2 linked regions of the Rhinolophus ferrumequinum genome follow. The protein of the gene in region 2 interacts with the protein of the main gene of each other region in a pairwise test. Links are inferred from orthologs where the notes say so. Each region holds a gene or a part of one and is shown on either strand. Other genes may lie near its edges.

What was found. The genes of interacting proteins can lie anywhere in the genome.
Region 1: the proteins of FNDC11 (region 2) and GPBP1 interact in binary tests that used the Homo sapiens proteins (3 or more experiments, as listed by UniProt). The link is inferred for Rhinolophus ferrumequinum from reciprocal best matches to the Homo sapiens genes FNDC11 and GPBP1.

Annotation. Positions count from the first base shown.
Region 1 is NC_046290.1:35,786,859-35,795,148, reverse strand, and holds the start of GPBP1 (vasculin), read right to left. Parts: upstream 3,264-8,290; 5' UTR 2,603-3,263; intron 1-2,602. UniProt on the Homo sapiens protein: Functions as a GC-rich promoter-specific transactivating transcription factor.
Region 2 is NC_046306.1:484,756-492,859, forward strand, and holds FNDC11 (fibronectin type III domain-containing protein 11), read right to left. Parts: upstream 3,697-8,104; 5' UTR 3,636-3,696; intron 2,108-3,635; 5' UTR 2,105-2,107; coding exon 1,124-2,104; 3' UTR 908-1,123; downstream 1-907. Other genes in the region: tyrosine-protein kinase Srms, read left to right, coding at 7,628-7,992.

The sequences.
Region 1 (8,290 bases), on a different chromosome or scaffold from region 2:
TTACTTCCATCATTTTTATGAGGAACTAAGGCCAAAACAAGTTAGGCCCTTTTCTAGATATTCCAAATATTAAACCAAAAATCTTTCTAACTCCCAGCCATTACCTGTTTTCTACATCACTACCCTTACCTAAACATTTTTATTCAAAATTAAACAGAAAAGGTGGTTGGATCAAACACAATTAGATAATAATCTGGCCTGGGTTTAGGTTCTATCCTCATTTGCTAATTTTACTTTCAGACTAGGCGCTCCCATCCGTATTCCCTTCTGTAACTCTATAAATTTTATTTTCTTTCTGTTCACTCATATTCTTTCCCTATTATTTCCCATTACTATTATTTCCCGATTATGCCCCCTTCCACAATTCCTGAAGTATCAGCAGCTTTAAGCACAAAAATTCGTGTGTATTAATTTCAGTTCAAAAACAGAAAAAGTAAAACAAAGCTAACATGCTTCATACCTGTGTGAAGAGGTGCTGGGTGAATGGGATCTGAATATATAACCTGACACATTTTAATTTTTACCTAACCAAATATCACGCAAATAGTTACTAACAAACAGCAAAACCAACAAGTTTCTATCCTTCAGCTTGTCTCCAAGTTCCACTAGTAATCAGTATTAACCAAAGAGAAACCGTATATGAAAAAAACACAAATATCAGAGATAATGTTCAAATAAAATGAGTTAATAAAGTAAAATCCACAAAGCAGTGCACGATATAGTGATTAAGAGTATGGGGCTTGACGATTTGGTCAAGATTCCAACCTAACCTTAATCCTAACAAAATTAACTTTCTCCCAATCTTAATCTCCGCTAAATCTTAATTTCCTCACCTATATCACTGTAACTGTAATAGTACTTCCCTCGTATGATTATTGTAAGTTTAAAATATACCAAGTAAAGTACACATTAAAATACATGACACAATCATCACATAAATGGAGTCATTATGATTATTATTTTTAGACCTATAGTTTTACGGACAGGAGAAAAATATGGGAGAAGGGGAGATAAAGAGGAAAAATAGAGAGGTACTTATAGGGGAGAAAGCAGCAGCCCAGCAATTGTTCCAATTACTACTGGTACTATATATTTCAAAGCCAAGAAAATAATATATATCAGAACATTCAAGTAAATCTGTCCTTGAACAATTGCAGTAAGCAAAGTTCACAAATATTCTATTCAAGGATTAAAGTTAATTGTTTAAAAACTGGTCTCTGGAGTCATCTTTATCTTGATACTACCGCTTGTGGTAATAACATCAACACGAGCAATTTAAAGAAAAATAACCAAAAATAATAAATATTACGTGGTTCTTTTCTATAAAGACACTCATTTCCCATTTCAACTTCTTATCACATTTAAAATGCATATTCTTAGATAAATAACTTTAAAAGCCATTGAGAAATATGTAATATACAGACTCCCGAAGCAAGGGGCAGAGGAGAATGTCCTCACATTTTTTATATAAATCAAGGTGGAAACTCAATTTAAAAGTACTACACACAGGTTCTGACAGAAAAACACAACTCACCATTTTAACAGAATTACTGAACATTCTAATCTCAGTTTTAGATCAGAAAAATGTTATATACACATATCGAAATAACTACATTCTTTTGGATTCTACTACCTTCTCCGCTCTAAGTAAGTGAAAGAGGATTCTACAGTATAGCAAAAAAAAGGCTGTTTCAAAATAATGACGACTGACAAGTTATCAGGTCATCTTGGCAAAGTGTTTCGAAAGTTATGTTTTATCTCAGGTAATTAAATAAACTCTAATTTTAGCCATGTTGATGTATTCTTACCAACAGTAAGTCCTTAAAAATAAGTTTTAGTGAATTTTTTTTAAAACATTTTACTGAATGCCTGTGATTCACTGAAAAACTAAATGTAGTAACTAATGGCAATTAAAAATACCATTCAATCCAGAAAAATACAATTATTATTAAAAGATAATTCATTTGCCAAAAGGATTTCTATATAGCAATTAATTTCACTATTTTAAAAGCTTGTTTATAAACTTAAGGCAGCATAACTTCTTAGGAGAAAAAGTACCCTCATTTTTTAAGTTAGTCTAAAACTTGTTAATGCATCTTGCTCAGTTCCTCTGTTTCTGTTCCTAGTAATGACTTGGCTTTTTGGAATTGAGATCTTAAGGATAATTTGAAATATAAACCACTTCTACAAATTGTTTCAAAAATTTAATTTCTGTGATGGATTAAAAATGTTAGCAACAGTTATGCCTTAAAACACGGCCACTTTCATGAAATTATCAGATTAAAAACCAAGCACTATAATTTGTTTCAAACATTAAATAATTTGTTGGGTTTTTCCTACCAATCTAAGAATCCATAAAGCCTAAGATGAATAATGAACCATATAGACTTTTTTACTTTAGGAGCACAACAACTTAAAATTTGAACTGTTTGATCTGCAATGTTCTTAAATTTTAACTTTCTGCATTTAAATTTACTTGTTTTCAGACTGTCCAGGAATCTGAAGCCAAGCAATATTATTGCAAGAAACTGAAAGGCTTCCAAGAATAACATAGGATAAACTTGACTCATTACATTTACAAATGATCATTTGATTTGCTCACCATATAGTACTTACAAATTCCAATAGGACTGCACAGGAAGGTGTTGAGTTTTTCTCTGTTATCTTTATGTTTTCCAGTTGTTTTTTTATTTTGTATCCCTCTGAAATAAAATCCAAGTTCTTCGAAGATACTCAAGCTATGACTATTTGACATAGAGTTACTTCAAGTCAGCTACCCATACTTCTGTTTAAAGTTTCATATGGCTATCTCCAGAATTAGCCAAGTTCCTTAGATTTAAGATTATCACGTCTTTATTATTCATGAACTTGTCACTGTTGTACTTATCCACTCCAGATGAAATATCCAATTTATGAGCCAAAAAGCAAAGACAAAAAGAAAATTTCACATCTGAAGAGCATTCCTAAGCATCAGCATATACCGAGACACATAGCTATCTCAATACTACCATGCTGCTGGGAAACTGCAACATCTTAAATTTCCACGTAAATAAAAGATAAAAGGAAAAAAACTCTGTATTCTTTCAATGTCTTCATTTAGAAAAGCTGCCCCCACTGTGACATGAATAGGGCTGAGGTCAAAAATTCCTAAAACTTTTAATAAAGGTAAAAATAATTGCCATGAAACTTCAGCAATATTTAAACAGTAATTTGAAACTGCTGAAACTACTCAGTACACAAATCAAACATATCTTACAGTTTTGGCTGAAGAACACTAACAAGAGGGAGGAGTTGGGGAAAGGCAAAAATACCACCAGCTGAACACTTTAAACCAGGTATATCATCCGTTGAACCAAAATACTAAAAATGACTATGTTTCTTTTTAAGTAGCTTGTTAGAACTGTCACTACTATGAATTCACTTCAGAGATGATTCTTGACAATTTTAATAAACTTCTGGGGCAAAATTATCCAAAACATTGTAATTCCAAATGGCCACTTGAATATCCGGGCCTTTTACACAAAACCTAGATGATCTTCATATCTGAGTAATTCGATCACCTGTAAAAGTTATAAAAAACAAAAAACAAAAACAAATTACACACTGAGTTTTAACTTTGAACTAAAAATTAACCCCCATCTTAAAAAGTCAACCTCTGGAGAGAAATTCACTTCTGTATACTACTACTTGGGTCTGAAAAAAAGCTACGCCCAAGCAGGACCCAAAAAAGTCTACTGTAAGAAAAGGACTTCAGAATGGGGGTGGAGGAGGGATGTTATGGGAGGCAAGTATTAATTTCAACTGGGAAAGGGTGCGGATAAAATACAGGGGATTATATAAGCAAACATTCAAACCTTGTTATACTTTTTGAGTAGATATTATAACTATGAAACTGGCACACAACCTTATGAAAGGTCTCTATTCAATGTACCAAGGAAAATGAAGACAGGTGTGGTGCCACCAAACATTAGCTGATGAAACTTAAGAGAATGAGGAATATAAAGAGTAAGACGCTCCCTCCAAATTAGGATGTCTAAAAGAGGCACATTTTCCCACACGAAGGGCAGAAGTAGGTGGATGAGAAGTGGGGCAGGGACATTCCTTAAATTTGCCTGAGGGTAAGATTTCCCCAGCTTCCGAGTGCAGCAGGATAAAGGTGTCGGCTCCCATTTCTTTCAATTAAGAAAACAGGTTTCTCCCAACACTGAGGGGGTGGAAGGTACCGAGCTTTCTCGTAAACCACGTTAAGAGTGGCTCTCTCCGAAAACAGAGCAGGTCCCCTCAAGACCCCACAGGGCTCGGAGGGGCAAGGCAGCAGCACTCGATTCAAAACAGCTAGTGCCACGGACCTGGGAGAGGCGGGGAGAGCGGGCGCGCTACTGAAGAAACAACCCAAGGCCACAACTCGGCCTCGATTCCCTCAGCCCTCGGAGAGGGGTAGTGGTGCCAGAGGAGGCGGGGCGTGCGCGCGAGGTAGGAGGAAGACCGAACACGGAGGGCGTCGGACCCGTCCCAGCCTCCGCCAAACACCCCCCAGCCGCCAAGGCTAAGCCACCCACCTCCTCCCCACAACCGCCACCTCCGCTCCCCCGGAACGAGGCAACACCTAAAGGGGCCTCCCGGTGCCGTCCTTCCCTCTGTCTCCTTGCTCTCCGCTCCCTCCCCCAGATCCGCGGGCAGCCCATACCTCGCGCCGCCAACGCCGCTCTAGACCCCTCAAACCCCAACGCCGACACGGGCACCCTCCCTCCTCCCCCAGACTCCGGCGCGAAGCACAGAGGACGATGTTACCTTCTGCCACACCAGAAGTGCCCCTGGCCTGGGGGTGCCGCTGCGCTCGATCCCGAGAGGAGGTTTTCGGTACTTTGAATAATCCCCCTTTGCCGCTTTTCCCTCCCCCACAACCAGTCTCAGTCCCAAAATGGCGCCGACCCGATCCGCAATGTTCTGGGCCAAGTCTCGCGAGATGGTGGATGGCGAAGCGGGGAAGGAACTAAAGAGGTTGAGGAGAAGGGGGAGGAAAGGCGGGGGCGACGAAAAGAAGGAGGGAAGAAAGGGTGTGTGCTAGTAGAAGCGGTGCGAACAAACCTACTGGGCGGGGCAGCAAGGAGGAGCGCCTCCACCAGAGAACCTTCTGGCCCAGGCAACCGCTCACGCCCCGGCCAAAGAAGCTCCACCCTCTACGTAGGGGCGGCTGGCGGGAGGGAATGAGGGCGGGGTTATGTATGGAGGCGGGGCTCCGAGGAGGCACTGGAGGCCAGGGCGCGCGGGGGGCGGTGGCTCCGCGCGGTGACGTCAGGAGCAGCTGGAGTCGGGGATTACCCCCTGCTGCTGACGTGAGGATGGTGAACAATCGGGAAAGGTCGGTGGAAGGGGGAATTCCCCGCCGCTCCCACAGGAGCCCCTCCTCCCTCCCTTCTCCCCCAGCCCCGGGCCGCCCCGCAGCCTGAGATGGTGGGGTTGCCCGAAGGGCGGGAGGGGAGGGCTGCTCCAGGAGGCAGCCGCGCGGGCCTCAGTGGCGCGCGCCGCGGCGTCTACCCTGACTCCGAGATGCCGCGGCGCGCGCCGCTCGCCAGGTACGGCGCTCGGGCCTGGGCGGATGAGAGATCACATGCTCGCCTCTACACAGCCCTGGGCGGGCGGAGCGCTAGCCGTGCTGGCGCCGGGCTAATTGGGTGCCTGAAGCAATGGATCCACCGTCGTATGCAAATACGAGAGCGTGTCGGACATAAATCATATATACGGGAGGCCAGTAGCTGAGGGATCGAGACTCGCTCGTTGGGAGCTAAGCCCAGATTCTCAAAGGATAAATATGGCTGCTGGATATAATGGTGCTAATTATCATTTTTTATTTGTATTAAATCTACAGTAGCTGACAATTATTTCAACAGTGTCTCAGTCTCACACAGCCCGGGCGATTTTTAAAATGAATTTTGTACTTACAGTTCTCTGATTGCGATACCTTTCGCGTTATAACTGAAGTCTCCCTTTAAAACCTGTGAAGTTAGCCTTACAAGAGGAAGAAAAGTAGCTACGTATATGTGCTGAGAGGGAATGTGAGGGGGGAGGGTTTCTTGAGGGAAAATGCAGAAAATAAAAAGTACTTGGCTCTTTGCTCTTCCCCAAGCCACAAAGGTTTCATACACAGAAACTTTATGATCCTTTTACATGCATTATGGGGTTTGCAGTTTAATGGATTACTAAAACCTCTTGGAAAGAATGGTTGAATTTACATACACTCACCAAAAATTACACCTCCCAATCTTATTTTAGTCGTCATGGGAGGTGGACACTTTCGCTGAGTGCGAAGGAAAGAGAAGTAACACTTGCTGAATGCCTTGTCCTTGCCAGACACTTCTTTAATCCTAAATCAATCTCTTAAATGGGTGTTATTTTCCTCATTTTGCAGATGAGGAAATTGGTCAAGTCGAGTAATGTCCTTGAGGTGGTTACCTAACATGCAAGTTGGGTGCCACAATTTTCCTGTACCAGACAAACTCAAGTATATTTGGGTCTTAATCCGCTTACTTTCAACCGCACCACATTGCTTCTGTAGAAGTAACTTAAGTATTGGGACAGGACCTACTTCTGCTTCTATTTCTAAGCAAGATATTAATTAAAGAAACAAAGGAAAATATTGATAATTTGAACACATACAAATTGTGCTCTTCCTATGGCAAAAAACAAAGTTAAAAAACAAATACAGCAGTGAAATGGAGAAACAATTGTAACATGTATGACATTTTAATATTTAATTAGATATACTTGGTTACTATTCTTAATATCTAATGTTTGATTTACATGATAAGTATATCAAGAGCTCTTATAAATCATTAAGAAAAAATCAACTTTTAAAAAGTAACGGGACATGAACAAGCTAGTCATGTATTTGTCAATAATTATACGAAAAGATGCTCTACCTTACTCGAAATCAGAAAAAAATTAAAATAAAACTAACGATATACCACCTTTTAACCTAGCCAATTGGCAAAGACTTAAAAAGAATAAAACCTAGATGAAGGTATAAGGAATAGGCATTTGCATTATTCATATCAAGAATCGAAATCTGTATAGCTTTTCTGGAACAGTGTGGCTTTCATTTAAAACAAAAGTCATTAAAATAAGATCCCCTTTGCCCAGCTATTCTATATCTTAGAATTTATTTTAATAAAATAATAGGAAAGATGTCCAACAATTTATAAAGATACTCACTGATAAATTGCTTATAACTACAAAAAATTGGAAACAATCCAAATGCCTATAAATAAAGGCACTGGGTAAATAAATAAATTATGGTACATCTATAGATAGACTATGAAGCCATTAAAAATGATGATGTACTTTTTTGTAAGAAAAAAAAAGTCACATGAAAAGATGTTCACAGAACACCGGTAAGAAAAATAAGAGAAAAAAAAAGCTAGAAGAAAAAAATAAGAGGTAGGTTACAAAACTGTCTATATAATGTCCTATTTTTGTCAAATAAAAAAGTATATATCAAAAGGAAGTCTGAATAGGTACAAATGTTACCAATGCTTATTTCTAGGCGGCAGAATAATAGAGGATCTTTGTTCTTTGTACCTGTTAAGGGCCTATGTTACTTTTCTAATTAAATACAAGAACCTGTCTCCAACCAGTAACATGTTTTCCCTTAATTCGTTTTAATTCATTTAGTGAAATCTAAAACAAGGATTTATCGTATAATAGATTCTTTTATTAATGAGCATAACATTTTGGTAGTTTGAAAGAAGAGGACATTTTTTTAGCCAAACTCATACGCAAGAATTTTTAATGAAATAAAATAGTTTGATAAGTCTCTCAAGGTTTTATAGATATTAGCCACAAAGAGATTACATAACTTGCTCCAAAATAATGTTAGCCCACATATACAATGCTGTATTCATTTCCAACTTATTTGTAAAAGTGAAAAGCAGAAAACCTAAAGATATGTACTTTAAAAAGTAATAGCCACCCTGAAACCAACAAAGAAAAAAAAGGAATAGAGTACTATGCAGCTGTTGAAAAGAATAAAGTAGACAAATACATACTAACATGCGAAGATGTTCAATATGTTTTTTAAGAGACAAAAGAATGTGGTAAAACAATATCTAGCATCATTATTGTTATTTTTAAGTGTATATTTATATAGAAATAGACAATGCCTAAAGAATAACTTTAATATTTATCAAATCAGGGTTATTTTGTTTTATACACTGCTGTTCTATTGAAATATAGTATTTTAGAATAATTTAATGTTTAAAACTTACTTGCCCAAAAATCTGCAACAATTGAA
Region 2 (8,104 bases):
GGCCCCAAAGTCTAAGTCCAAAGTCCCCAAGGCTGTCAGCAGGTCCAAGCCATCCGGGTATGAAATGATTCCCCAGGACCCTTTGGGACAGCGCACCCCCCTGCAGGCTGGCTGACCTGGGCTATTCAGCATCTGCTGGTTTGTGGCTGAGCCCCCAATGCCTCCAAAGCTACCAGCTGGACAGAGGAAGGCATGGCTGGGCCCTGACCTCTCTAAGTGGCAGCAGGGGGTCTCAGATAGGTCAGGAGGTCACAGAGAGCAGAGAGACATTATAGGGAAAAAGGGGTCCCCAGGGCCACGTGTCCTGTGTGTTCACTGTTGGCCTGGAGTGAGCCGGATGGCCCTACCTGGAAGAGCAGGTGTATTCTAGGGCAGCCACAGAAGCATTCAGAAACTTGACCATTATCTTGTGAAAAGGCTTGAATAGAGGAGAAGCAGGCGCCTGAGGCAGAGTCAGTACCACATCATCCTGGAGTCAGGGAGGGCTTCCTGGAGGAAGGGGTGTTGAAGCCCAGAAGGCACATGGGGTGGTAGGAAGCAGGGCTGGACTGAAGGAGGGCAGCTGAGCACAGAGGCGGCCGCTGGAGCGGCAGGTGAGTCTCAGGACAGTGAGGCAGGTGAGCTGGGGTGGGGCGGGTACAGCCCAGTGCTCAGCCTAGGCCAAATCAGGAAGCGGGCCTCGGAGCTGCTCCTAGAAGGGGACCTGCGTGGCCCCACGGTGGCCTCTGGGCAGCTGCCGTTCTGGGTGAGGGTGTGAAACTGGGCCGCAGACCGGAGGCACTAAGACGAGGAAGGCCCTGCTGGTGTGCCTGGATGCACCTCCCTGGCGAACTCCCATTCCAGCCTGACCTCTGGCTTGGACCCGTATGACCCAGCACAAACCCGAATCCCTGGCCCCTGGCCTGCTCCAGGGGTCAGCTGTTCTGGAAGGTCCAGCTTGGGTCTCCCCTGGAAAAGGGACCAGGGGCTGACGGGGTCCTGGGTCTTGTGGGCGGGCTGCACCAAATCAGAAAGCAGTCATGTGGCTGCTTCCACCTTTAGAACTTTTGTTTCTATAATTGTGTGTTTATATTGCTCTTTATTAATGGATAAATATTAGAAAATCATCTCTGGGAAGCTGTGGTCAGGGGTGGCCCGGCTTGCCCAGCAGACTGGGGGCCAGCCCTTCGGGGGTCCCCGGCCTGGTGTGCAGAGTGAGGCTGTCCTCCCAGGGCTCATACACCAGCGTGTAGCTCTCAGCTCTCTTGACCGTGAACTTGTAGACGCGGTCGGGAAGCAGGTGATGGATCTCGAAGGTGCAGGTGGCCACAGGGACGATGCCACGCTGCAGGCACTCCTGCTGTGTCCGTGGGTCCAGCAGCTTGAATCGCAGTTCAAACTGCTCTGGGGCCGCCGGCTGGATGGTGACAAACCAGCGCAGGGTGGCCCAGTCTTGGTGGGCCACCGACTCCTTGCGGTCGAACATGACGGGCATTTTGGTGCTCAGCAGAAGCCGGATGTGGGGGAGCTTGGTGGCACTGACATCAGACACCAGGCGGTGTTTGATGTGCAGGCGCCCAGGCACCATCATTGCCAAGAAGTTATCCATCACGGCTGACAGGCCCGCCAGCCGCTGCTCCACGAGCGCCCAACCCGCCAGGAAGGGCCGTGGGTCAGGCGACTCGAGCAGGGCATCCAGCGCGGCGCGGCCGCGGTCCAGCTGCTCCAGCAGGTCTCCGAGCAGCAGCAGCTGAATCCTGGCCTGAGCGGCGCCCACTTTCTTCATGCGCTGGAACTTGCAGGGGTCGACCAGCTGGAAGATGGTGTGGGGCAGCAGTGGTGGGTTCTGGTCGCCCAGGGCCAGGTGCTTCGGCAGGATCTCAATGTGGTAGGAGCACCTTCGGAGCAGCTCCACGCGGGCATGGTGGCGCCTGAGCAGCTGGGGGCTCAGCTGGGAGGTCAGGAACTCCCGCAGCGCCGTGCGGTGCTCCATGTAGGTCCTCCATGCCTGCGGCTCCAGCAGCTGCCCGTCCTCGGCCTCCTCGGCCTCCTCCTGGTCCAGGAAGCGCTGGGGACTGTCCGGCTGCCTCTTGTCCAGGTCCAGGCCTGTCACCTGGAAATCCATCGTCTGGGAGGGTGGAGTGGAGGGTGGGGTGTCAGCTGGGACCAGCAGGCTGTCCTCTGCTGCCCCTTGCGGCTCCCCCGGGGCAGTGTTTGTGTGTGCCCCCTACACCAGGCCCTCTGTCCCTCTCAGGGGGAGGAGCTTATGGGGACACCTCTCTCCGGAACAGGCTGCCTGCAGGGCCGACAGGGCGGTCTGCTAGTCTGGGAGACAGTAGGCATGGAGGGGCAAACACTACTGACGGCTGTTTGTAAGGACACAGGGCAAGGCTGAGGCCCTGAGTCCTGAGGCCACAGTGACTTGGGCACACAGGCAGCTGCCGAGCAGCTGTGTGGCCTGGCAAAGGTCTCAGTGCCTCATCTGAAATGGGGTCATGGTGCTGCTCAGGCTCCCGAGAGCAGTGTGATCTGTCTGAGCAGCACCAGGCACCCCCTCATCCCGGGGACACCACTGCCTGCAGACCCTCCAGACCTCACCGCAGGTACAGAGCAGAGCCAGGCTTTCCCGCAGGCAGTCCCGTGGTGACCAGGACCGGCATGGGCGGCAGGCTGGCCCCAGGCCTCAGCTCTCAGGATCTTCACGATGCCAGCTCCTAGTTACCCAGCCCCTGCTACGTCCTGGGGCCTCGCGTGCCCTCAGGAGCTCACTGACTCCACAGGAAAAGGCCATGAGGTTGTAAGATCCTGTCACTCCGTCTCACAGATGGGGCACGAGGCTAAAATGCTTCGAGTTTGTCCTCAGTCCAGGCATTGAGCCCTGCCATTGACCCCAGAGCCTGAACCTCCTTCTGGGCCATGCCTCCCTGCCCCCCAGGTTCCCAGCTCTGGGTGTCAGTGGGAGGGGCCAGTGCACCTCAGGGCACGTCACAGCTGGATGCAGCTGTGGTCCTAGGCCCAGCTGGGGCAAGCTGCCAGTCCACAAGGACTGGCCCTGCAAGCTGGGGCTCCTTGAACAAGAAGCCAGCATCCCTGGCTCCTCTCCCAGGTCCCCGCCATGCCCAGGGACCAGCGGCTTCACTTGGGAGAGCTCAGGTTGTCCCAGCAAGCCAAGGCTTGGATGGATTACAGAGACAGCCCGTAGGTCGGGTGCCGTGCCCAAGAAGGCACCGCCAAGTGGCAGAGTAAGGTCGGGGAGTCTGCCTCCCTCCCTAAAGACCAGCCTTTGACCTTCCTGGGGAAGGGTAGCCAGACCAGGCCCTGGGCACAGCAGAGAGGGTATCTGGGGTGGGGAGTCAGGCGAGACCAGGACCCCAGGACTCGCGGCCTAAGTCCAGCTCTGGCCTCTGGAAGGAACTCTTGCTCCTGGATCTGGCTAAGGTCAGAATGTTTCCAGTCGCTAACAGTCTCCCAGGTGGAAAATGGGAAGACACCACCCTGCGCCCTGGCCCGCCCCCCAGAGGCCCCGCCTTCCTGACGCCCCTGCACACCCCTCGCCCCCCCACCCGCCACGCCCACCTCCCCGAGACCGACTCCCACCTCCCCCACCCCCTGTCCGCCTCCCCACTTCCCTCAGCCTCCGCAGGCCCGTACCCCACCTTCCAGCGCACCCACTTGCCCTGCCTCCGGAGCGGGCAGAGCCTGCGGCTTGACTGTGCGCAGAGCCGGGGAGCCCAGCTGCGCACTGCGCTGTCCGGCGGGTTGCCATAGGGACCGCGGGCCTTTGTGACGCCGTAGAGGGTCCGGAAAGGGGATGGGGCAGAGGGTGGGGGTGAGGGGTTGGGGGGACAGGAGGTGGGAGGAAGCCCAGGGCATCGGGGGTGGGGGGAAGACCCGCCCTGTCGGGTCCCAAGACTTGAGGGGCTGCGAAAAGACGGCCATGGCCGGGCTTTCTGGTCCCAGAACCTCCACGAAAGGAACCGCTCCTCTCAACCGAGTCTCAGCTTGGAGGGGACTGTCCATAGACTCTGCTCCCTTTTCTGGGGACTCCGGACGTCGCAACCAGAGGCCCGACCTGGGAGCCACCGCCATGGTCTGAAAGCCAGGTTTGCAGTAGGGTTCCACCGACAGGAGCAAACTGAGGCCGGCCACCCCTCTGCGCTGGGGACCCAGCCCGGAGCCCTTCTGCCAGGCTTTCGGGTGGGGGCCGACGCCCCTGCTCTACCTCCGGCCCAGCGCTGCCCAGAACCCCTGGGTGGAGCTGCCAGAGACTGTGACCATGTGAACTGACAGCAGGATCAGGAGCCCTGCCTCTGCCAGAGCACCCTTCCTCTCCTCGGCCTGCCCACGCCAGTGCCCCTGACGCGGCTCTGGACAAACGGGGTGTCCACAGCTCCAGGGAACTCCTCAGAGGTGTTCTCCGCCTCTGGAGCCCCACTTGTCACTTCCAACTGGGCTCTGGACCTCTGGGACCTTGCGGGCCAGCCAGGGTCTGCCACCGGCCGTGGGCAGCCTAACACCCCAGGCACTCCTGGCCCTCCGGGGGAGGACTGAGGTGGCAGGGCTGACCCTGGTCACCCGTCTCCTCCCCTTCGGAGGTGAGTGGTGGCCTCTCCAGGATGGGCGTCTGTCCCTGAGCTCTCTTCACAAACTCTTCTGTGGCCAGAGCTGCCCCCAGTGCACCCCCACCCACCAGGGGACCCCATCCTGGGAGGAATCGTCCCCTGGCCAGGCACCCATCAGGTCGGGCCTGGGGAGGGAGCCAGTGGGGCTGTGTCTGCCCTCCTCGCCCCGCCCTGGGCCCTAACTTAGCAAACGAGAGCTGCTGCCGCCATTGGGGCCCTGAGGGGCAGGGTTGGCTTGTTTGGAAGGGGGGGGCTGTCTGAAGGTTGAGTGGGGGAGTCTGGCACCTGAAAGGGGGAAAATGCAAAGCAGAGGGAGGAAGATGACTGCAGCCCCTCCACCCACAGCAGCTCTCACTTCCTCTCGGCGCCAGGCGTGTCCTGAACCTCTGACATCTCTTTGGCCCCACGCCCTTTTCCTCTCTTGTTCATCCGCTAATTTTTTTAAATTAAACTCTGAATTTTGAGGTAATCGTAGATGGCACGCAGTTGTGAGACGTCACACAGGGCCCCCCGTGAACCCGTTGCCTATTTCTTCAGAACTGCCAAGCAGGATCCCACCAGGGTAGTGATACTGACAGTCCACAGGCAGACGGCCCTGTCCCCACAGGGCCCCCACTTGGCCTTTTGTAGCCGCGCCTACTTTCTCCCCAACCCTGGGGCTCCTCCGCCCCTGGCCAGCGCTCGTCTGGTCCATCTCTGCAATTGTGTCCTTTGGAGAGCCTTCGTAGCATCGTGCAGCGTGAAGCCCCCAGGACCAGCCTCTCTGCTCAGCATAGTTCCCGAGGGCCGGCCACGTGCATTCTTAGTGGGCCCTTCCTCCCAGGCATGGGCCAGCTGATTTTGTCTCGCCCATTGTCTGCAGCCACTGGGCTCTGCTGCCCTTGGCAGACCCGGCGCCCTGAGGGTGGTGAGCCTGGTGGTCGTGAGGTCATAGCCCTGGGGGCAAGGGGTGCACCTGGACCCCAGAGACCCGATCGTGTGCCCTCCACAGAACACACATGAAGCCATGGTGTGGGGACACTGCCAACCTCAGCCTGAATGCCCGGGATGGCCGCTCCTCACCCTGCAGACCTGGTCTGAGTCCTCACTATGGCTATGAGCTCAGTGCTCTCACAGATGGGGAAATCGAGGCACAGAGCGCTCAGCACCTTGCCATGCGGCTAGTGAGTCTGACAGCAGGATTCGAACCTGGTCATCCGACCACATCCAGAGCTGTCCGGGGGCCCTCCCCCTCACATAGCTAGCTCCCAGCCCTGGGTTTGGTTAGGGCCCATGGAGGAGGTGAGGCTAAGGGGGCCCCGCCAGAAGACCGAGGAGGACTCTCCCTGCCTGCTCTGACCATCAGAGCAATGTCCTCAGTCCCAGAGGCCAGACCCCTTGGCTCTGAGGGACAGGGCATCTCCAGGATCTGAATGCTGACCTCGAGCGCGGCCAGCATAAGTGGGGCCCTCCCTTTGGCCGGTGGGTCAGGGGCTTCCTAGGAGGAGTCAGGTACGTCTGGGATTTAAGGAAAGCAATCTGTAAAAACCCAAATTGCTCATACGGGGAGGTGGGGGGTGGAGGCAGGTGATAGGCGGGCACTGCAGGCCCTGCCAGGCCTCCCCTAATTCTGTGTTTGTAAATGTTTGTTCCCGACCCCGCTCCCTGATCCTCTGCAACAGGATGAGTCTCAGCTGCATGGAGCCTGCCCCTCGGACCCCTGCCCCCTTCAGCCCATGGTGGGTGGCTGTCGCTGCCACGTCACAGTTTGCAAATTGTACAAGCTGCTCCCCCAACGGTGGCAGGGAGGCCCCCAGGGTGCATTCCAGACACCAGGGTCTGCTGCCTCTCGGGGGCAGGTGGATAGACACTTGTCACTTCTGTCGGGCCCGTTCACAGAACGTGACAACGTTTGGGCGTTGATTGAGTGTGGGGTGTGGAAGGAGGGTCTGCAGTCGTCAGAAGAGGGATGTGGGCTCAATAATGACGCCGGTGCTGAAGGGGCTGCTGTGGGGGGAGGAGGAGCAAGCTACCTGGGGCTGGGAACCGCCCACACACCCAGACACCCGCCCTGAACCCCTCCTGGATCCGGAACCAGGACCAGGCGGCCTGGGTTTGCTCTCCCGCCCTGCCCAGCGGCACAGGCTGACCTGGGCAGTGGGCAGCTTGCTTCAGTGTGCAGGGGGCCTGGTGCGGTCCGGGGAGAGGAGCAAGTGGTGGGTACAGGCCCTCCGTGGACTCACCCGCCACCCCCACATCACCCAGCGCATCTCTCTGAGGGCGGTCAGAGGTCAGAGCCTCCTCCCCAGGGTGGCCCTGAACTTACCCCCTCCTCCCTCACCGCTCTGTGCTGACTGAGCCCCACCCCATAAGAAACTCCAGCTGTCCTGCACGGGGGTGTTTATGATGTTAAAGACTTGGCCCACGTTGGAAGAACCAGGTAACTGTCCACACAAGTCCAGTGCACGGCTAGGCAGCTACTGGCTGGTGCTGCCCCTTCATAGAACCCCTCCTCTGAGGGCAGGACTCAGGTCACGGGCTAGCATGGCGTGCGCTTGTGCATGACCCTTCTCCCCTTGTCACACTGGCCGCCTGGCAGGACAGCCACCCCCTCCTTCCTAGGCCTGAGGAAGGGGTACATGTTGGGGAGGCAGGGGGCTGTCCCACGTTCCCAGCCGCCCAAGACCCCACCCCCAGGCTGCCCCAGGGCCACTCCTGCCCCAGCCCCAAGTGCCTCTGAGCAGCCCAGGACAAGTCCTGCCCACAAGACACCCTAGAGGTCAAGGAGAGCAGCGGCTGACATGTGGCTGGGGGCTGGAGGGCCACCCTGTGTCCCAACCCGGTCTGAACAGCCCAGAAGTGAGCAGGGGGCCCTCTGGAGTACCTGTCACCCACACCCCTTGCCAGCAGTGATGGACTCTGACACTCAGCGAAGCTCTGACACTTGCCGTCCCACCGGCCCTTCCAGTTTCTCCCTCGTCAGAAGTCCCCTCCCCTGCAGGGCCCTGGGCGCAGTGTGGTGACCGGGCTCCGGACGCCCCGGGAGCATGGAGCCCTTCCTCAGGAAGCGGTTGTCCTTCTTGTCCTTCTTCTGGGACAAGATCTGGCCCGCAGGCACGCCGGATGACAGCGTCTCTGGCTTCCCAGACTCTGACACCAACGCTGAGCTGGAGGCCCCCGCTGCCGAGCCCTGCACACCCCCGGCGGTGCCTGGGCAGCTCTTCAGGGCGCTCTACGACTTCACTGCGCGGTGCACAGACGAGCTGAGCGTCACCCGCGGGGACAGGCTCTATGCCCTCAAGGAGGAGGGTGACTACATCTTTGCCCGCAGGCTTTCCGGCCAGCCCAGCATGGGGCTCGTGCCCATCGCGTATGTGGCCAGGGCCACCTCTGACACGCTCTCAGACCAACCGTGAGTACCACCTGCTGTGGGAGTCAGGAACCAGCACAGGATTCAGCCTGGGCACTGCCGCTCAGCCATCAGCTCACGCACGTCCAGCACGAGCACGCGGTGGGCTGCACGG